4 linked regions of the Drosophila melanogaster genome follow. The protein of the gene in region 3 purifies or fractionates together with the protein of the main gene of each other region. This does not show direct contact. Each region holds a gene or a part of one and is shown on either strand. Other genes may lie near its edges. The genes, in order: Patr-1, Not1, roq and PAN3.

Evidence for each region.
Region 1: the proteins of roq (region 3) and Patr-1 purify together in Drosophila melanogaster (affinity purification with western blotting, with the first as the bait; one study listed by BioGRID). This does not show direct contact.
Region 2: the proteins of roq (region 3) and Not1 purify together in Drosophila melanogaster (affinity purification with western blotting, with the first as the bait; one study listed by BioGRID). This does not show direct contact.
Region 4: the proteins of roq (region 3) and PAN3 purify together in Drosophila melanogaster (affinity purification with western blotting, with the first as the bait; one study listed by BioGRID). This does not show direct contact.

The regions. Positions count from the first base shown.
Region 1 is NT_033777.3:17,041,593-17,048,927, forward strand, and holds Patr-1 (protein associated with topo II related - 1), read left to right. Parts: upstream 1-1,971; 5' UTR 1,972-2,057; coding exon 2,058-2,096; intron 2,097-2,266; coding exon 2,267-3,080; intron 3,081-3,310; coding exon 3,311-4,839; intron 4,840-4,956; coding exon 4,957-5,202; intron 5,203-5,258; coding exon 5,259-5,537; 3' UTR 5,538-6,829; downstream 6,830-7,335. Other genes in the region: Trm7-32 (tRNA methyltransferase 7-32), read left to right, coding at 1-113, 171-275; bdwf (bedwarfed), read right to left, coding at 446-1,021, 1,078-1,470.
Region 2 is NT_033778.4:9,573,653-9,578,491, reverse strand, and holds the start of Not1 (Not1), read left to right. Parts: upstream 1-1,796; 5' UTR 1,797-1,987; coding exon 1,988-2,314; intron 2,315-2,373; coding exon 2,374-2,904; intron 2,905-2,959; coding exon 2,960-3,422; intron 3,423-3,484; coding exon 3,485-4,705; intron 4,706-4,791; coding exon 4,792-4,839.
Region 3 is NT_037436.4:16,375,560-16,380,363, reverse strand, and holds the start of roq (roquin), read left to right. Parts: upstream 1-1,797; 5' UTR 1,798-1,932; intron 1,933-3,125; 5' UTR 3,126-3,126; coding exon 3,127-3,288; intron 3,289-3,353; coding exon 3,354-4,804. Other genes in the region: Agpat4 (1-Acylglycerol-3-phosphate O-acyltransferase 4), read left to right, coding at 129-664, 737-1,094, 1,155-1,237.
Region 4 is NT_037436.4:3,069,514-3,074,144, forward strand, and holds the start of PAN3 (Poly(A) specific ribonuclease subunit PAN3), read left to right. Parts: upstream 1-1,619; 5' UTR 1,620-1,794; intron 1,795-3,033; exon of another isoform or gene 3,034-3,247; intron 3,248-3,567; 5' UTR 3,568-3,931; coding exon of another isoform or gene 3,932-3,965; intron 3,966-4,631. Other genes in the region: CG32486 (uncharacterized protein), read right to left, coding at 649-1,026. UniProt on the Drosophila melanogaster protein: Regulatory subunit of the poly(A)-nuclease (PAN) deadenylation complex, one of two cytoplasmic mRNA deadenylases involved in general and miRNA-mediated mRNA turnover.

The sequences.
Region 1 (7,335 bases), on a different chromosome or scaffold from region 3:
AAACAGGGTCGGAAGTAAACCGTCGTCTAGTTCCTTTTATAGCCTGTGGAGACTTAAATGGGTTGAGTGATCCCGAAGAGGGCAAGACTTCCTCCTCAGATGAATCCAAATCAGTAAGTGATGTGCCTAATACTTTGCTTTGTTTTTTTATTCAACCATCTTTCCCACAGAATTTAGAGTATGTTTACGATGCTGTTATGGACGACGCATCTTATCCCCTGGAATTTAAAGAGATTCTAAAGCAAGTCTATGATGAACAACGCCATATTATCTAAATATTTATAAAATAAAACCAAAAAAATTAAATTAAATTTGTATATTAAGTGGGCTTGGGCCAAGCTAAAAGAAATGTGATAAAATTAATCAAAATATTGAATAACTTAGATTATTTAAAGATTAGGTTATTAAGACTACCAAGATATTACTTAATTTTGTGCATATCCCGTTATTTGAGCGACAGCTTTTTTTGCTCGATTTCCAATAGTTTCTTTTTCAGTTCTATTTTCTCAGCCATTAACTGTTCAATTGCCAAGTGATGTCGCTTGTCCTCGTACAGCTTCTGCTTGTACAGGACAAAAAATTCATTGAGTGCAAGTTGAACGCTGTTGGCGGTATCGTGCACCATTTCTAGGTTATTGCTAATCTTGTCAAGCAGTGTGGTCTCCTCCTCCGCCAGTCGACTGCTGGCCAATGCGGCCCGTTTGTTAGATTGCAGGTAAAGCGGGTCAATGTCCGTTTTGTTCTCCTCCGGTTCGTAAACGTACTCGGCGGAAGTCTGAAGGGCGCCACCATCTTCTTCCGGGACCACATCCTCTACTTCGTCCACATCAAATTCCGTGGTGGAATTCTCATGCATTTCATCGTCGGAGACCTTCATAATAATCTGACTTACATCCTCGTTTAATCTACACAGTGTGGCTATTGTTTCCTCCGACGAAGTAAGACTGGTGCCAAAAGGCATGTTCTGCATCTCATTCTTTTCCACCTTTCTCAGGATAAACCTCTTCCAGTCCTTTAAGGCCTACAAACAAATCAACTTATAATGCAAGCGGTTAGAAAAAAAGTAAGTTAGAATACCCTTCTCCAGGTGGCTATATCTTTTCGCGGCGGACCGTGGCTATTAAGTTCGGATGACAGTTCCTCCCACAGCGACTCCAGATTGCCCCGTGTTTCCCACGTCGGATTCTGAAGCAGACGCGGATGTTTCTTCACGAATTCTAACAATATCAGCTCTTGCGTTGAGTTGCGCGGCTTGGCTTTGTTCCGGTCGATGGCGATGGTGGTCTGCGGCTGGAATTTGTACTTGGAGTTCCGGTTGAGTCCCGATGTGGGGTGCATCCTGTTCATGTGCTTGCTTAGATTCGTGGTGGTCGTCTTGTAAGAGAGCTTCGCCTTGCAGATATTACACACCGCAAACGTGTCGTCCACCGCCCGGAAAAAGCACCAGATCTCGCTCGTTTTCCGCTTCATTTCGACTAAGTTGTTTTGGAAAAGGAAACAGGCTCGTAGTTCCGTCCAAAGCAATAGTTCAAGAACTAGTAATTTAGGGATGAGCTTGCGGGCGCTGATTTCAAGTTTCGAACTAGTTCAAAATATCGAATACATTGAAGGAGTGCAAATGCACCTTAATTAGGGCAGATTTTTCATTGATCAGTAAAATCTAATGTTGTTGACTTATTAACCAGTCGTGGTAAGTCCCAAACTGAATAAATAAATATGCAACATACGAAATTTGGCAGTGGTTAAATCATCATTTTTTTCTAACATCACTGTAGCAAAATGCAAACTTATAAATTTAGACAAATCTTCAGTCGTTCACCTATTGAAAAAAAACGTATGAAAAAAATATATATTTTAAATTTGCATGTTAATTCCAACATTTGTAATATGATAATATTTATATGCGAGCGAAATTGATGTATTGTGGCGATAGTCAGAAAACCATCGACGTCAGACTATCGATAGTACCATCGATATTTTGACAGCTATACTGCTGAGGTGACAACTTGTCACTGACAAGTCATGATAATTTTTTGTAAAGCAATAGATTTATCGCCATGGATGACTCGTTTTTCGGCTTTGACACGAATCTACCGGTAAGCAGCGGTCCCGACATTGCGGCTGCAATATCCGGGATAGCGGGCCGCACAGGGGTCGGCAAATGCCCAACGCACACTTTTCACTCGGCAAATAAGGGGGCATCGAAGGCCACCGGGGGCAGAAAAAGTAGGAATGTCTAATTTACTTGCTTCAATTGTTTCTCCAGGACGAAGATGGTGGCGATGGACGCATCGTCGAGGCGGAATACGATGCCCTCAATGACGAAACCTTTGGATCCGCTATAAATGGCGACTGGGAGGAAGCCCATGAGACGATGGTACGCCTGGGCGGGAATGGCGAAAGGGTGCGGAAGCGACCCGCGGAATCTAGTGGAAATACGGATTTTGCCGATCAGGGAAATGGTGCCTTCCTGCGACACGCTAATCCGCTATCATCGGCGCCCTCTTCAAGCGGCTCCACTCCGGCCCCTTTGAATGCCCCCTTCCGACAGTCTCGTCACATAGGGGACTCGGACTTGGAGCTAAACATTTCCTCCATGAAGTTGGACGACATGGACCTGTCCTCTTTCACCACTGATAGCGAAGCCGGTGGGCTGAGCAACCGCATTAAGCTGGACTCCGGGGTCTGGGGATCACAGCCGTTTCCCAACAACCAACATTTGTTCCGCGAGCCTATGCGCAGCGCCTTCAAGCCACAGCAGCAGCAACATCAGCAGCACCAACCACAACAAATGAAGCCACCGCAGGAAGCGAATGCCAACTTTGCACTGAATCCACAGCCTTTTCCAAAAATTACAACTCTCGAGGATATAGAGCGCAATATGATCATTCAGCAGGCCATTCCGAAACAACAGCAGCAGAGCCAGCAACAGGCGGAACGCAAAATGTTTGATGATTTTAGTCTGGGTAACAGGCAGCAGGTGCCTACACCAACCATGTTGCAGCAACAGATGTTGCAGCAGCAGCATCATCAGAAACAACAGTCGCAGCAGCAGCCGCCACAACAAGCGCAGCACAAGGGTAATTATATATTAAAACTAAAAAGTATTGATGCATACAAAAACAGGCCTCAGTATTTAAAAAGAAAACATGTCCAACAAAAAGTATAATTCCTAAAAATATTTATTTCTTACGAATCTATTTTTGGGGACAATTTTTAAGACAGATTTAACCATTTAAGGAACAAACTTCAAGTCCCTGATAGATTTCTGCGACATATGAAAATAACACCATTTAACAATTCATTGCAGTACCCCCTGGCTTCTTGGGCACGCCGCACACCTCTCCACCGAGGCCAAATTTGGGTTTCCCCGGACCCGAGCTACTGCCCACGCCATCGTCGCAGCAACAACTAAACGGTATTGGTGGCAACCGAGTGCCGCCCGGATTTATTTACCCGCAAGGTCTGCCCGGGAATATTCCGCAATTGCCCCAGCATCCTCTAATGCAGCAGCACATGCCGCACAACTTTCCACTGCCCGGCGGCAACCAGCGACCTCTACCCAATCCACAAGCTCTGCCCACGGCCCTGAACAATTTCGCGATGCATCCAAGCTTCAATGCGATGCGCGCCGCTGGAATCCATCCAGGGGCTTTTATGCAACCTCCCCATCCGCACCAGATGCTGCCACCGCGAATGCCGCCGCACCCGCTGCAAGCTGCCACAAGTCTATTAGGTCAGCAGCCACCGAATTCCATGTATAACATGTTCAACATGCGACTAGTGCAAGAGATCCAGCAAAACCATCCGCTGCTTCAACAGGCTGCTGTTGTACGCCAAATGCAACAGAGCAGAGCAGGATCCGTGGCCAGCGATCGTCAGAGATCGCAGGCGCAACAGCAGCAACAAGGACGACGTCCAGATGGTACAGGAAATTACCCGCTGGAAGAGTACGATGAATATGCCAACCTAATGAGCACGCGCGACAAGCACTGGCTAATCGGAATCCAGCTTTCGCAGCTGAATACGGACACGCCGTATATCGACGACTATTACTACACGGTGTTCAGGGAGCGCAAGGCCCAACAGAACGGGCAAATGCGCAACAGTCAGGCGCACAAGGACAACCAGTTGAATCATCCGCTTACTCAGCCACGCGGCCATGCGCAGCTTATTCTCGTACAGTTGGGCAACAAGAATGGTACTCGCAATGGACACGGACGTGAGCGACGCAACTCGGAGAACACCAACAGCACGTCAGGCAACACGAACAATGGATCAGGTGGTAACAACAACAACCTGACAGGCTATATATTCTCACCACTGAAGTTCGAGAACTCACTGGGAAAGCTACAGTACGGAAGTGTGACAGCTCCGCGAAAAATTATCGATGCTGACATTATGAGTGGTGAATCAAATGCCGCTGCTGAAGCCAACGCAACTTCTTCATCAAAAAGCTCGACTCCGCTGCCCACCTCCGCGAGCCATGATGTAAATCCCAGTAGCATGCGGAAGTCGCGACACATTTTGCTTCTGATTGAAACACTGTATCGCTATCTGCTGAAGTTGGAGGATTTGGAAAGCCCAGAAGTGATGGCCACCATTGAGCTGAAAAAGAAAAAGGAAGCCGAACGGATCGCAGCCCTTGAGCAGCTGGAAATGGCCAATAAAACGCCCGAAGAACGTGCTGCTGAAGCCGCCAATCCGCAAACCATGAATCCGCAACTAAAGAACAAGTTCAACTATGAGGTAGAGACGAAAGCTGCGTTGGTCAATAAATTAAAGGCAGGTCTGGCCTTCGACAAGGTTATCGCCATGATGAATGTGCGCAAGGGAAAGGTGTGTACTTTTTCTTATACTAATTTTAACAAGTGCAACCAAATAGAATTCGATTTATGTTCTAGTGCTATACGCATGAAACTCACTATTTTATTTAAATCAATCTTTCCTTTGCAGATACTTATTAGACGCATAATGCCCTTTATTGCGGATCAAAGCATTCGCTGGGTCGTGTGGAGCGGCGTCTTCTGTTCCCTACAAACAGTGGTGAAAAAGGACAAGGACGACGTTGAAGGCGTCTTGTACGCTCTTTACCCAGAGTTTAAAAAACACGTTAACAAAGCTACTTTCGAACTCCTAGTGAGCATTTCATCTGCTATTACGCTGAATGACAAGAAACTTGCTGGAATTTTTTGCAGTCGCGTAAGTTATCCTCAGTATTAAGTAATAGATACGCGTACTAATTATTAAATTGGCAGTTTGGAATCCTTTCGCTGGTTGCCCTGATACTTCGCGCCGAGGAAATCTACGTCTCGCGAACTGACGCAACTCTTAGCGAGGAGAACAGGCAAAAGTGGCGAGAATTTCTGGCACAGGTTGCATCCTGCCTCAATCGCACTATTCAAAACCAGACCATCTCGGCAGCCATTGAGTCGGATGCAATTCAGCCACTTATGGACCACTTTGAACGGTTTAAAGATCTTAAACTGGATGCACTCTTAGCATTAATAACTGAAGCCAGGCATCAAATTGATTAGGTTGCTTTGACGGATTTTCATTTAACTTGATTGAAGCGTTTCAAATAATTGTGAAATTATATAGCCGAGTTCACTTTGCTTTACTCAATTACGCATATGTTTGTATAGAATATGTATCCAAAACTTACATATGTACGATCGTTTTTACATTTACGCATACTACACAAAAATATTGATACAGGGTATAAAAATCTCATACTGAAATTGAGAAAGTACTCGACTGTCAATAAATTTTGATAATAGTTTGTTAGAAACGTTCTTTTATCCAAAATTGTGTGCACTGTACAAGAAAGGTAGAGAGAGGAAATCATGTTTTATAAATATAATATCGAATGGTAGGTTTTGCTCATTGTACATACTTATATCATTTTATATTCGATAAGGAGTACTTTTCCGGCATTTTCTGTAGAGATTTATAAAGAATAATTCACCCCACAAATTATTCTTTTTTTTTTTTTGTCATCGAATTAACAACTGGGCTCTCCTATATCTTGTAATCACGATTGTAAAAGGAATATCATAAATACGTTTTAAAATTTAAAAGCACCGATTTAATGCGCGATCCATGCATACTCATTTAAATGTGCATCCTTAAGTATCTGCTTATTTTCTGGTATTTGTAAATATCGGTTTAATGAAATTTTACTATACTACCTTTTGGGTTTCATTGAATCAAATTTGTGCAAGACCCATTAAATATAGTCGAGACATTCAGCATAAATGTGTACTAAATAATTAGCATTGTGACAGGTGCAGCCGTATTTATTATAACAAAATGATCAAAATTGTGATACATTTTGACTTTTAAACATAAACGAAGTTCCGATGATCGGAAAGAATTAGTTTAACACACAAATACAAATTTGAAATTAGAAAACAGCAATTTTCACAAAACTTCTGTAACGCAACGGATAGATATTTGTTGTAAAAATCCGTTGTGGAGCATTTTAATTTTATTTCGTTTTTAATTGTATCTACACCATCATTCAATGTTGTTTAATTCATTTTTTTTATTGAAATTCATGTTTTGTATCTGAAAAAAATTCTACTCGACTGCAAACGTCTTGCAAATACTTTAAAACTATGCTTTTTTTTAGCAAACAAGAGTCAAAATACGATAGCTGTCTAAGATTGCAAACACATATACAATAATTGTAGTTTAATTTGTATTTATCACATACAAACACTTCAAACCTTTTCCTATAAATATGTTCGCTGATTCAAAAGTAAATTTTTTTAAATTGATATAATTTCCGAGAGTATAATAAATAAAAAATACCATTTCACAGAACACACCGAAACTAAAACACCTTATTTTTTTGGGGGGGTTTTGAAAAAGATGATATTTAGTTTAGTAAGCAGTCTGATAAAAACACATTAGTTGTCCATTTCAATGATATTTTATTTATGGATTTTTTTAGCTTTCCTTCAAATTTATTGATTTGCTTCCAATTGGTGTTTACGCTTGTGCTATTAAACGGTTTTTCTTCTATAATAATATATTAATCATTTGATTTCTATAAACAATTGTGCCGGGGGGGGGGGGGGGTGCATCATTAATGGCGAACGTGTTTTGTGTCTGTCTGTTTTTGTTTTTGGCGCAGAATCAAGCGTCGAAGTGTCGGCAGTTGCCTGTCCGTAAGGGACATTTTGTTGTGCGGAGGCGCCAAAGTGCGTAACAAGTGGCGGCGGCGCGCTCGGGAATTGTTGCAAATTTCTGAGTCGGCGACGCCAACCACTGGCGACGGTCACCAAGACGACAACTTGTCGGCAGCAGTCCGCCCAGCGCGAAGGGATG
Region 2 (4,839 bases), on a different chromosome or scaffold from region 3:
GGAAGGCAGAGACAAAAACAAATTGCGCCGTAGGTGAAATGAAAAGCGCCAAGAAGCAACAGCGAATACGTCAAATATCTCTAATCTCCAATACCAGTGCACGCTAAACGTGTGTGCTGAACAAAAAATTCTGGTGGCCTCCAACAAAAACAACAGCAACAAGAAACATCCGCTGAGGAATTGACAACTGATACGTAGAATTATGAACGTAGAGAGCCAACTGAAGACACCGCCAACGCACATTCGAAATCTGGTCAAGCACGTGAACAAGCGAAATTTTAATGAGAGCAGCGAGCAAATAAATCAGGTAGGTGCCCAAGTTATTCTACCAAAGTTTCCATGAACCATTTCCAATTCATTTTGTCAACAATAACAACAACATTTTGTAGGGGGCGGGGGTTTAGTGTTGCCAAACCGACAACATATCGCACCTGGCCAACCAGAGTTGCCAATTGTTCGCACTCACGAATGGGCTATTGCCATTTCACTCGCTCGTGCATTTTTGCCGACGCCATTACAGTTTTTTGGTAAAGGCAGCTGAAAAAATTTCTCTGCACGGCGTTGCGCGTTTTGTGAGCGTTTTGTTTAAGCTAAAAGTTTTATAGAATGTGTAAAACCAGGCCAATTGTGTGCGCTTAGCCACAAACGTGTTTCGTGAGTTGATGGCAGTGTGAATTTTGCAGCGTAGTAGTGCGAAATCGAATTGCGAAATTCGAATTGGGAAGCCCAAGCCAAGCGCAGGGCTTTTCGGCCCCGAAACTTCTGTTTTTTCATTGCCAAACGAGAGAAACCAAATTGAATAGTAAGTTCGTGGGACAAATTGCGTGGGAATATCAATTGCGGCCGCTTTCTTTTCGCTAGAGTTGCAATATGTCGCACTTTTTCCTGTGACCCCCTTCCTTTCGCGCACCGTCATGCTCTCTTCTCTCCTTACCCATGTAACGTTTCGCCAACGTGTGCGAGCGAGAGGGCGCGTGTGTAATTTGTTGTGGAGCAGCTGCGACGGCGGGGCCAAAGCTGTTGTCTCGCTCCCCCGTTCGGAGTGAGGCCTTGATTCCGGACTCCGAGCTCCGGATCAAATATTTCAACAGTTTTGGATCCGTAGGGAGGGAGGGGGATATCTAGCCTCCTAGAAAAGTTTTGCCATTCAAATTAGTATCATAACAAATACTTGGCTTAGAATGGCACCATTTGCCCAACAATCCCCTAAAAAGTAATCGTTTGTGGGACAAACTATGCTACAGATCCCGTTTTCTTGACAGTAAATGGCATATTCCTCAAAAATTAAAAAAAATGATAAAAAAAAATGATAACAAAACAGAGTCATATACTTCAGTATTTTGAAATTCTCAACAATCTATATCTGCCATTTAAAAAGCCTGATAAGTTTTCAAGTTATTCGAACTCAGTAGGATTACCAAATTTTCACTGATATTCAATGTTGGAATGAAGTACTAGGATAACCCAACGGAATTTATAGTAAGAAAGGTCTAGGAATTTGTTGGATTCCATGGAGAAATTATCGGATAGAAAATACATTAACTAACTTAACGATAGCCCAATTTGAGATATAGTCTTCCATTTAGTTATAGCATTCAAGATAATCTCAGAAACCTGTGAGCCCAACAATGGTGCACCTAAACTGGAATTCCCAATGATAAAATTCATGTTTTAACCCTCTGGTTGCGCTTTTAAAAAGCCAATTGGGTAAAGTTTTTAAGCGGGCAAGAAATAATGACTTAATGGATTTACTTTTGAAAACAGTTGCCTGGAGTTAGAAATAATCCCTCCAAAATGTTACTTTACATCTTGCCCTGTATCCGTAAACACATATCCAATTGTACAGAGAAAAGTTGAGACACTCACAGAACATAATAGAACCTGTCAAAATTTCCAAGTTTGCGATGAAAATCACATAAAAAAAAATCCCGGTCACCGCAGAATCTGAGGAATCGTTTGAAACATACACTGTCCCTTATACAGTGATATGTGTCCCAGATTGCGGGCAGTCGCTGTCAAGGCACTTATATTGGCTTCCAAACCCTACGCAATGCAGCTCTTTGATTCTAAACCATACATTACTGATAGCATTTACGACATCTTGCAGTTCGTTAAAGAGCACGGCCTGGAAGCGGATCGCAGCAGCCTGCGCCACCTGTTCTCCGTGATCAACTTCAGCGATCTCGTGCCATCAGTTACGGTCCAGCTGCAGGCGAAGCTCCTGGGCATCCAGTTGGAGCGTCAGCTTCACAGTTCATCGTTTGTGTCCAACATCTGCTACGCTTTTGACCAGTTCTTCGCCAGCAACCAGAAGGTAAGTTGAGTTTACAATGCCCACAATGTGTTGATTACTTATGGATACTCATTCCTAAGCAGTCCCTGAAGCCTGTTGCGGTAGCGGATCTCGTTGGCCAGGTCGCCCGACTGACCGGCATCAACAAGGTTTGTGAGTGCGTCTTTGCCTTGGCCTTGACCCACTCCTCGTACACAGAACTCAAACATTCTGCCAGGAACAACCTAAAAGGTAGCCTCAGCGAACTTATAGACTCTTACTTGGGTAATAAAGGCACCGGCCCAGCCGACAGCGGTCTCCGGGAGATCTCCTTCGATCTACTGCAGTATTTGTTGTGCTGCCTTAGCGAGTACGTACAACCGCAGGTGGAAGCACAGTTTTTGATCAAGCTTCGTGAGGAGTTTCCGCGCCAGGCGGTACCGCTGGTTCTAGCGCCGTTCCTTTACGGCTCGACGACGGCGACGATTGCGGGAGCAGGTGCCAGCGAAACGGATGCGGAGGCCGAAGCGACGACTAATAGCAACAGCTCCAGTTTCGAAGCAGATGCTTTGAACGAGGTGGGAATCGAGGATATTTATGACCATTTAAGCGAGATAATATTCACCAACCAGGTGCGTAAGACACTCATTGAAAAAGACAATTCGCTAATTGAATGTTGTGTTGCAGGGCAAAAATAATATTATGGACACATCTTGGATTAATCTAATCCTTGAAATCGGTTATGAATTTACATCGAGCGTTGAAGAGTGTAAGAATCATTTGTGTTCCCGCGAGCGAGAACGCGCTGAGCTCCAGTCCAAAGATGTCGCCAAGATCGTGGGTCTTATGTGCCGACGGCACTCCTCCCTGCTCGATTGTAATGTGAATCTACCGACGCCGGCGAACTTCTGGCCTGGTCAGGGACAGGGCGGTGGCAGCAACAGCAGTGGCTCTTCGCAGACACAAATCACTCCGCAGCAACAGAACCCGGGCAGCAGTAACAACAACGATGGCAGCGATGGCAATTCGTCCAGTGATAAGAAGGACAAGAAGGAGACGACGGAGGCCACGCAAACTTGGAAGCCAGATGTCTTTGTGCAGGCGCTCAAGGAGGTGGTGCCTCAGCTCAACTGGAAGGACGTGTGCATGGGTAATAGCTAGATAATTGCTTCGCAATCGCCAATCTATAGGAATATCATTCTTAATTTTTAGAACTTGATCATCCCGAGTTCGTGCTGAAGGATCGCATCGGTTTGGAGCTTTTGCTCACCATCCTTCGGCTGGCCACTGGCTCTAACATATTTCCACATCCAGAATGCATTTACCGTCACTGGGCAAACACGGAAGGTCAGCTGTCGCTTATCGCGACAATGCTGAAGAACCCGGATCTCTTTTCCTTCGCCGACTTTGTATTTAGCCAGCCAGCGTTGGATGTGCTTAAGACGGCTCCGGATGCGGACAATAAGGAGATCTCGTCCTGGAAGTCGCTTCACCTGGTGGAGGTGCTGCTCTCCATTGCGGACAAGGGATACTATACGCAGGTCCATGAGCTATTCAAGTTCCCAGCGCAGAACTGTCCCGATGTGCTATTTTTGGCCTTATTGAACACAAGTCCGCCTATGACGCCACTGCGTCAGGATCTGTTTAACCAACTGATACCAACGTTCCTTGGCAACCATCCCAACTCGAACGTGATCTTGGCCAGCGCCTGGAGCTCGAACAACTTCCAACTTCGTTCCAATATCATGAATGCTATGTCCGAGTGGTATCTCCGAGGCAATGAGTTCGATCAGGTGAAACTGTCGCGCATCCTGGATCTTGCCCAGGATTTAAAAGCGCTATCAGCGCTGCTCAACGCCCGTTCATTTTTATTCATTATCGACCTGGCTTGCCTTGCCTCTCGGCGCGAGTACCTGAAGCTGGAAAAGTGGCTTACCGATAAAATTCGCGAACATGGAGAGCCTTTTATGCAGGCTATAATCAAGGTTCTGCACCGCCGCTGCCCGCAGGTTATCAACGCAAAAGTGCCAGAGGATCAGCTGCCTCCCAAGCAGGCGCAGCTTTTGCCCGAGACAGTTACCACCATGATCAACTGTCTGCAAACGTGCATCAATAACTGCATGCAGCCGGAGATGGTCGAAGTCATCATGCAAATGACCGCGAACGTGGCGATTATGGCTAACAAGGCGCGTGCCCAACAGCAGCAGCAGCCAGGATTGGTTCCGCCGCCTCCACCAACAATTCTGCGCGGCCATCGTGGTATGGATCTGCCTGGAGGCATAGTCCCTCCGCCACCGCAGCAACCGTTCTCCGGAAACCTCAACGCGCAGATGTTTGGACCAGGAATGGATCCGCTAACGAATATGTCCAACAACTTAGCCGGCCTCAACCTCAGCGGCCCGAACGGAGCATTTAATTTTGGAAACATGCTAAGTAAGTGGCATTCATAGGCAATGAGTGCATAATCTATCACAGATGCCTCTTAATCCTATCTAACGAAATTCTACGTGCAATTTCAGCTTCTCCATCGCGTCTGATGACTCCGGGAGCCAATCCCTATCCGCTGA
Region 3 (4,804 bases):
CCTGATTAGATTAGGTATATGCAAGGTCTTCTTTTGTATAAATCACTTAGTTTTTACATTTGATGATTAAATGAAATAACGTAAAAGTGGTACTTTTTGATAATTTAAAAACTATCCTCACACTTTAGTCCTTGTCTGTGTGGCGGAATGGTATGCGGGCAGCAAGCTGAGGGTGTACATCGATCCCCAGGACGAGCAGAAGTTCTTCGGCAAGGAGCATGGACTGCTCCTGATGAACCACACGTACGAGATCGACTGGCTGACCGCCTGGATGATCACCGACAAGCTGGGCAATCTGGGAGGCACCAAGGCGTATGCCAAGAAGATGCTGCGCTATGTTCCGGTCCTGGGATGGGTCTGGTGGATGGCCGAGTTCATCTTCCTTGACCGCAACTTCGAGAAGGACAAGGTGGTGATCAAGACGCAGCTGAAGGAGGTCTTCTCCTATCCGGATCCCGTGTGGCTACTGCTGAACGCGGAGGGCACCCGTTTCACACCCGCCAAACACGAGCTGTCAGTCAAGTTCGCCGAGGAGCGAGGTCTTCCCCTCCTCAAGCACCATCTGATTCCGCGCACTAAGGGATTCACGACCAGTCTGCCCACCATGCGTGGCATCTGTCCTGCCATCTACGACATCAATCTGGCCTTCAAGAAGAATGCCGAGGTGAGAACTTAAGATCTCATATATATGTATATATATTTTAAATTACATTTTCGAACTTGAATTAACTTACAGCCAAAGCCCACCATGCTGTCCCAGTTGAACGGAGAGCCCGTGGAACCGTACATGTACATTCGCCGAGTGCCACTGGACGTGGTTCCCGATGACGAGAAGGAGGCCGCCGCCTGGATGCAGGACTTCTTTGCGGAAAAGGACAAGATCATCGACAGCTTCCACGAGACCGGCAGCTTCTTTAAGAATTCCGGAGTCAAGGAGGTGCCCGAGAAAATCTACAAGCCGCGCCTGAGCACGCTCCTCAACTTCTTGGGCTGGGCCACCTTTGCCGTCCTGTGCATTCTGCACTACTTGGTCACCTCGCTGGTTGCCGGCAACTGGTTTGGCTTCATCACGGTTCTTTCCATTTTGGGAGGATGTAAGTTGAGAAATTCTAGTTTCGAGGATATGTGCTTAACTTTACAACTTGTACTTCCAGTCTATAGCCTCATGGAATACGCTGTGAATGCTTCGAAGATCAGCAAAGCCTCTGCGTATGGAGCAGCTGCTGCCAAGAAATAGATTTTCATACCTGAGTTTTATAAACTCTGCAACAGTTTTGGAATATACGACCTATGGACTAATAACTCAACTGCACTGACCATAGAAATATTATGTACATTGAATATGTACGATAAACCATTGTAGTTAACTGAATAAAATAACATTTTATGCGAAATTCACTTACAGGAACTAAATGATTCTTAGAGGCAAATATTTAATATGTGTTTGTACATCCAATCGAAAAAATTTCTCACAAATTCACTTACAAGAACTAAAAGTTTCTTTGAGGCAAATATTTAATGTGTTTGTACATTAAATCGAAAAGATTTCTCAGTCTTCTACCACTTATATAAACGTCGTAGTTACAAAGTTTAAACTTCTTGTACTTTTGTTTTTCTAATTAGAACATGTGTTGTATATTTTAGCCATTTATACAATAAATGCTATAAAATTAGGTTATCGAATTTCAAATATAGATAGTGATGTCCAAAACGATAACTGCTTATCGCAATCAGCTGAGAGCGCCTAGTGCGACCCTTCGTGTAAGCAGTGCAGCAAGACATTCAACGTTTTCAGCCAGCTGGATTCAGTATTCCGCCGCTCGTCACCTGCGGTCATACTGATTGCAACTTCCCAAATTTCTTACAATAATCCAATGAAAATTAAAAAACATATTTTCGTACCTTTAATGCAATAATATGTGCATTTTGAAGGTGAGTCAGTGCAGCACCAGTGCCAAAAATTGCATTAAACCAAGTTTGTGCGAAATCCACGAAGCAGAGTGAAAAGTGAAACGTAACGAAAAAAACGTTGAGAGAGATTTTCGTGTAGTTCATTGTTTTTCCTGGGGGATTACTTGGTTTCAAGGACCTTTCACTGGCCTGTGGCCCTACTTTTCGAAGGTGCCATTCCTTGGGTTGGCACAACCTATAGGATACTGCCCGAAATTCCCTTTGTTCGCGTCTCGAAAGAAAGCGGATGCTTGATGACGTTGAAAGCGAGTTACGTTTGTGTCCCCCATAAAGGCAGTTATGCGTGTGTGTGTGAGTGGCTCTCTCTCTCTGGGGTCTCAAAAGGAATATTAGCGATCCTTTGAGCACTTGAAGATCCGAAAAAGTTCTCCAGGAAGTGCAACTGGGGTATAAAAATATATAGTTGCTATATATACATACAGATATACTTGCATGCGTGTACAAATGCCCTCGCACACAAACAGCAGCAGACGAGTGTGCGTGTGTGTCTGTGTGGGGGGAGCACGCGAGTGTGTGCGTGTGGCGACAGCTGACGTTGGGGGTAAGGCAAGAAGAAGAAAAAGACGAAAGCGAAACTTTTTACTGTGCCACTTTTGATCGTTGTAAAAGGAAAATAAGACTATCTTGAGTCACGTCACTTTCATCGTTACATCAATTCGATAATAACGAGCATATTTTATGGGATATTAGATCTTTACACGATTTACCCTTTTATAGATCGATAATTTAAGTATTTATAGGTGGGCTCTATACAGATCTTATTGTGATAGATTCCATTAAGACTTATAGATGTAGGCTGCCACAAGTCTGTTTCAAATATTATACTTCATTCTCAGAAAAAACTAATGTTTTCCATAAAGTTAAATCTGATAAGGATATACATAAATTGAATTACCCATAGAGCATATGTGTGAACATTTGTAGCATGATTTCTTTACCCAAGATAAGAAACATTACTCATTCATGCTATGAAATTTTAAAGGCAGTATTACTTCCGCCATTCCTACAATATATATGAATAGAATATGTTTAACAAGCCTGATTCGGGTAATTTGTTCCGATTTCAATATCACCAAGATTCCATTAAAATAAGATTTTCCTTACCTTTTGGCTTATTTTATTTTAATTGGTATTTTTATGTAATTTACGCACAGCATGCCGATTCAGGCTCCCTCATGGACAGATTTTCTGAACTGTCCCATCTGCTGCAATGAATTCGCGGCCAGCCAGCGATGTCCGGTCAGTCTGGGCTGCGGGCACACCATCTGCAAGCTATGCCTGACGACCCTCTACAACCGGCAGTGTCCCTTCGATCAGGTGAGTTGAACTCCATTTAAGTATTGCGCCAACCCTAAACGATCTGCCCTAATCTCTTTTCTCAGACCGTGATTGTCAGTGACATCGACAATTTGCCCATCAACCATGCCTTGCTCCAGTTGGTCAAGGACTCGGAGCTCCTCGAGCTGGCACCACCACCGCCCAGTGTGCAGAAGCTGGAGCCGGAGCACCTTAAGTGTTACCAACTGGGTCAGCGGTGCATCGAGGAGCTGGCTTTGCACTTGAAGTCCTTCCTCAACCTGAACGGAAATGGCAATCTTCTAACTCGACCCATGTTACGGAAACTGGTTACTCTGGTCAACTGCCAGCTGATGGAGGAGGAGGGACGGGTGAGAGCGCTTCGAGCAGCCAGATCCCTAGGCGAACGCACAGTCACCGAGCTGATCCTGCAGCACCAAAATCCCCAGCAGTTGAGCTCAAATCTGTGGGCTGCAGTGCGGACAAGAGGATGCCAGTTCCTTGGACCCGCCATGCAGGAGGAGGTGCTCAAACTGGTGCTGCTGGCCTTGGAGGAGGGATCAGCGCTTTCGCGCAAAGTGCTGGTCATGTTCGTCGTGCAGCGACTAGAGCCGAAGTTTCCCCAGGCCTCCAAGACGAGTATCGGACATGTGGTACAGCTGCTCTACCGCGCCAGCTGCTTCAAGGTGTCCAAGCGGGAGGCGGACTCGTCGTTGATGCAGCTCAAAGAGGAATTCCGTACGTATGACGCCCTACGCCGGGAGCACGATGCCCAAATCGTTCAGATAGCCACCGAGGCGGGTCTGCGAATTGCACCGGAACAATGGTCTTCCCTATTGTATGGCGACGTGATGCATAAAAGCCACATGCAGAGCATCATCGATAAGCTGCAGACGCCAAGCTCCTTTGCGCAATCAGTCCAGGAATTGGTCATCGCCTTGCAGCGGACCAGCGATCCTGCGAAGCTATCCAGTTTGCATCATCATCTGAAGTACCTGGCCAATATTGATCCCTGTGCGGAGGTTGCCCCGTGGTCGGTTTTGGCTGAGGCCTTGGATGCAGTGCGGCATTCGGTCGTTGGACTGGTGAACTTCCTTCAGCACCACGGAGTGCGCAAGGCGCAGGACGGCATCAGTGGCGGTGGCAGTGGTGGGACGACCAATAGCAATCCGAAGTACAAGATCAGCTTATGCAGGGACTTGAATGTGCGGCGGGTGTGTCCCCGAGGTTCTAGCTGTACCTTTGCCCATTCCCAGGAGGAGGTAGAACGCTATCGTGCACGGAATCGAGGAAAACATATGAAGACACCGTTGGCGCTGCAGGGACCTCCAGCGGTAGGCGTAGGAGCCATAAAGAAACCACTAGGCGAGCAGGAGGGACCGCCTCTAGGTAACATGCCACCCATGTTACCTATGTCGCCTATGCATTATATGGGCTCTCCTAGGGGATATCTGGATCCCAGCTTGGGACTTTCGCCAGGTGGTGGTCTCCCGCCGTCGCATCACAGTCCCATTACCAGGCTCATAGTGCCGAGCCG
Region 4 (4,631 bases), about 13 Mb from region 3:
CGGCAACTGGAACACCGCATCCGGCCGAATGCTGACATTCCGGCCGAATGCTGACATTACACAAAAGTCGCACTGCAACATTGTCCCCAGCTAGCCAGCCACATGCCGAGTCGGCATGTTCATTATGCTTACAATTAAGAACCTATGTACTTATGTATAAGACGAAAACGGAGGACTCGAGTAGCCACTCTCTGACAATAAACTTCATACTGATTTTGAACTTCAAGAAAGTCAGTCGTATTCTTTATTGGAAATCTTCACACTACAACTATCTGCTGAAACTTAAAAACCTTCATACATTTACACATCATATCTTCACAAAAGGCTCCACCCTCGATCACGGACTTAACTCCCGCCCTCGCTCCCCCTCGCACTCTTTCAATGTTTTCAAGGCGAATAATGCAAGAGCGCCCCAGCTAGACGTCTCGCTCTCGCACAGCTGTGTCTTGCTAGGGTGGAGAGAGGGAGAGAGGTGTTTTACTCTTACAGCTGAGCTGCCACGATTTGTTTGTATACAGAATGAGGCGCACACACACACGCGCACTTGCTGTTTTTCTTCTTTCGCTTTTAAAGCTCTTACTTCCTTTTTTTGATTCTAGTTTACAAGGGCTTATAGTTCAAGCCGCTGTAAATAATCCAAAAACTCACCTGGTACATGGCCGTCTTGGGCAAATCCAGGCAGACGGCACAGCACAGGGCATTGGAGATGCGGTGGGCCAGCTTTTCGTGCATTCCCGAGGCGGCTGCGGCACTGGAAAGCAAGCTGCTGCCGCTGCTGCTGGTGGCACCACCGCCCCCTCCGTCCAACAACTGTTTCTTGGCCGGCGGTTCTCCGCTGCCCTGCGTGTCCAGCGGCACGCCCACCACATTGCCGCCGCCCACCGACGAGGAGGACGACGATGTGGAAGAGGAAGAGGCCGAGGAGGCGGAGCTGGTCGTGGCCACCGCCTGGTTGTCGCCCAGGAGCGGTAGGTTCGAGGACGACGGCGGCTGTTGGACCGCCGAACTGGAGGATTCCACCGACATGATTGGAAATTTTCTTGGAATAATGTTTGTTGTGTTTTTCTTTGCCACTCGCTTCGTACACAAACTCCCACACACACGACCACTAAACTACTACACACACACAAGCAATACCCAGTTTGCTCTCTCTCTCTTTCGCTCGCACACTAAGTATGGCACTTTCTTTCAATTGCCACCTTTCCCCGCTGTCCGTGTCGTGTCGTTCTCTTCTGTGTTCTTCCGTTCTGTTCTGTTTGCAAGCTTTTTGTCCGCCGACACGTCCGCTCGCCAAAAAATTTGTTGTCTTTCTAGAGAGTGTTGTGCGGTGTGACCAAATCTTATATTAGGCAAAATACTAGTATAACGTATCGATGTTATTGGCAAAGCCTATCGATGTTTTTCTATTGTCTGTGTTTCTCCAGCCCTGGTTGATCGTTAGCAGGGACACCATCCCCTTTACAAAGTAATAAAATAACAAATATTATTAAATTAACCATTTCAAAATAAAATAGCATTAAAATAATATAGCAAAATCTGCCTTCATATATATAATTTTACAAGTATATTATTGAAAACGAATCCATTCGTGTTTAATGTGCTGCCCTTATATCCGGCAGTACGGAACTCGTCACTCGCGAGATGCGGTCACACTGCTTGCGGCAAACGGAAAACATGTAAGAAATTAAATATTGTGATTTTGTCTTTAAAATGTACAAAAGTTTGACAAAACACAAACGGCAGGTTCTTTATGAAGTCACCTCTCGCAAAGTGAACTATGACTGGTCAGTGGAGGTACGGAAAACGTGGATTAAAGAGCGAAAAATCGCAGTTTTCTCAGCAGACATTTTTGTATCACTTCGCTGTGCGCTGTGTGTTTGGCATTTTTTGTGTTTGTGTGTGTGTGTGCAACAGCGGCATCAATTTGAAAAATAACAAAAACAAATCGTTGGCGTGTTGAACAAAAAACTATACGTATTTGCTATCTGGCTTGCGTTATAAGAACCATTTGGACAAATTGCGTCTTAAAAATTTGGTGACCAAGATGGCTTCAATTTCATTTTCGGTGGTGAATTAAAAACTTTAATGAAAATAAAAACTTAATGAATTGACTTTTAATTCACGTGCAATTATTATGAAAATTTTTGAAAATTAAAATAAAAATATTTCCAAAAACGTTGTAACAAAACTACACTTATAAATTGGCTTTTGGCTTGCTTAGTGAACTTAGTTAATTATTTCCAGCTGTTCCCACTCAAAAAACAAATCGTATACATATGTGTTCTTATTTCCTTTGCTCCTGCTTTTTCTCTTCCCCTTCTTTTCGTTCCCTTCCCCTTTGCGTCCTCTTCCCCTTTTCCTAGCCAGCTGTTTGTCGCGTTCCACAAATATGGCTGGAGTGTGGATCGCGTTTGGAGCCCAGGCTCCCACATTTCTCTATGTGGAACGCAACCTGTGGCCAGCTGTTGGGTCCTGTTGAACTCCCCCCAGCCAAAAACTTACATATGTATATGTATTTATTTTGTGTATATATGCATGTGTGTATAACAACGCCAATTGCTAGGGTTTCTGCAAAACGTCCTGGCCACTTGAAGGTGAAGTGTTACAATACCATAAAGGGGTTTCGCCATTTTTAAAAGTTATTTTATTACATTATATTCAATAATGGAACTTCAGTAGCGTGTCAAAGGATTTCTCTTTGAAAGAATACGTATTTCATATCCAGCATTTATCAGCTGAAAAACATGAGGGACTTTATACAATCTGTTAAATTTCTTTGCATAAAATGATATATATGTTAATTAAAATTATTAACAATAGCTAAAGTCCATGTAACCCCTTGAGCGCGGATGTTTTCCCAACACTCCTCGAATGGAATCCACATCCACTTTGTTGCACACACAGCTGGCAGTTGTTGTTTTTATCCGACCTCCTGTGCACACACACACACAGACGGACGTACATGTATACAACACTCGGGGGTCGTTTGTGGACTCCATTTGGCTTGGCTGTTGGATCTTCTTTGCGTTTTCTTCATTCGTGCAGCGCCAATCGCGCGGTGTGTGTGTTGCGTTTTTCTTATTTGCAAAATCGTTGGAAAATGGTAATGAAAATGTATACAATATAGCAACAGCAGCTCCTTTCAAGGAAATATCCTCATTAAAGTAATTACGGTACTGAAAGCAATTCAAAAGCTAACAATGAAACAGGCAATTAACTACACAATATGTTGGCTTAGGTTCAGTGTGTATGTATTTTGGATGGTGTTAAATATAAAACTCTAAAAATATGAGTAACCAAGTGCGAAATGAAAAAAAGTGTGGAAAACGTAAGCAAATATGCGCGCAATTGTGTCTGTATATGTGTAGGAAAAAGCGTCCTCGTACACCCACACAGACTCACTTTGGAAAATTTAATGAAATCCAAGCTATACCGCCCTCTCACTCCCACTCACTGTTGCGTTTCGGGATTTCATTTTGTCGCCCCGTTTTGCAAAAACAAACAACTGTTTTTCGCTTACCGTTACTTATTTTAATTCAATGTTCTTCTCTTTCTCGCTTTTTACAGTCGACGCGCCTCAATTGTTAATCATTTGCCCGAAAATGCATTTCAACTGCAAGAAACTTACGTGAAAAAGTGAAAGAAAAAAATATTTTCGAAACGTACAATGTGAAAATGTGTTATTTGAAACTTAGCAGTTAAGCGCGGATTGTATGTATTATTTAAATTTTTGTTTCAATATTTTCTACAAAATTATTAAAAAGAACTACAAAAAAATCGAAAACAAAACGAAAAAACCAAGAAAAAGTTTTTAACTCAGTGCACATTAAAACGAAAACAAACGCAAAAACAAAGCGTAACGAAACGAGAAGGACCACGAAAAGAAAGAGAGCGCACGAGGAATTGGCGAAGGCGGGAGCGAAAGAGAAAAATGTCAACGTTCTTGAACAATTTCTTCCCGGCAGGTAAGCAAAAACAAAGCCAGAAAAGCAAAGGAAATCAAACACAAGCAAAGACAGGGAACGTAAGAGCAGAACCACAGCTGGTGGCAGGAGCGTATTGGAGAGGGGTTGGCGGGGTGAAATGACCCCCCCATCAAACAAGTTGTTCATATACATAGTTATTCTATGATTGTAATAATAAAATTGGTATGTTTATGAGCTTAACTCAGTGATTAATCATAGATCAGCTTTCTTATATTGATCGGTTAGTACGTTATTTTATCTGCCCCTTTTTAAATCCTTCGCACGCCTCTGGCTGGGTGGCATTTAATTGAAAGTCACCTTTGGCATATTTCATAAGCGTTCTCACCGGGGTCATCCTGTAATTCAATTCTGCGCCTCTCTTGTTTTTTCTCTCCACTGGCGGCATGTAAATTGAATTTTCCTACCGAAGCGCATATTGTGATTATTGGCAATTACATGGACGTGACCGAGGAACAAAGGAGGCGAAGGAGATAAGTAGGCAGAGAATGCGAGAGTGAGAGAGAGAGGGATAGGGACGGGATGGAGTAGCGGCCTAGAACAGAGAATCTTGGCATAATCAATCTGCCCCAAAACAATCTATACACTTCCCTTTAATTACGTACATTCCTCGCTGCAATACCATCGATTATCGTTTTGTTATTCCTG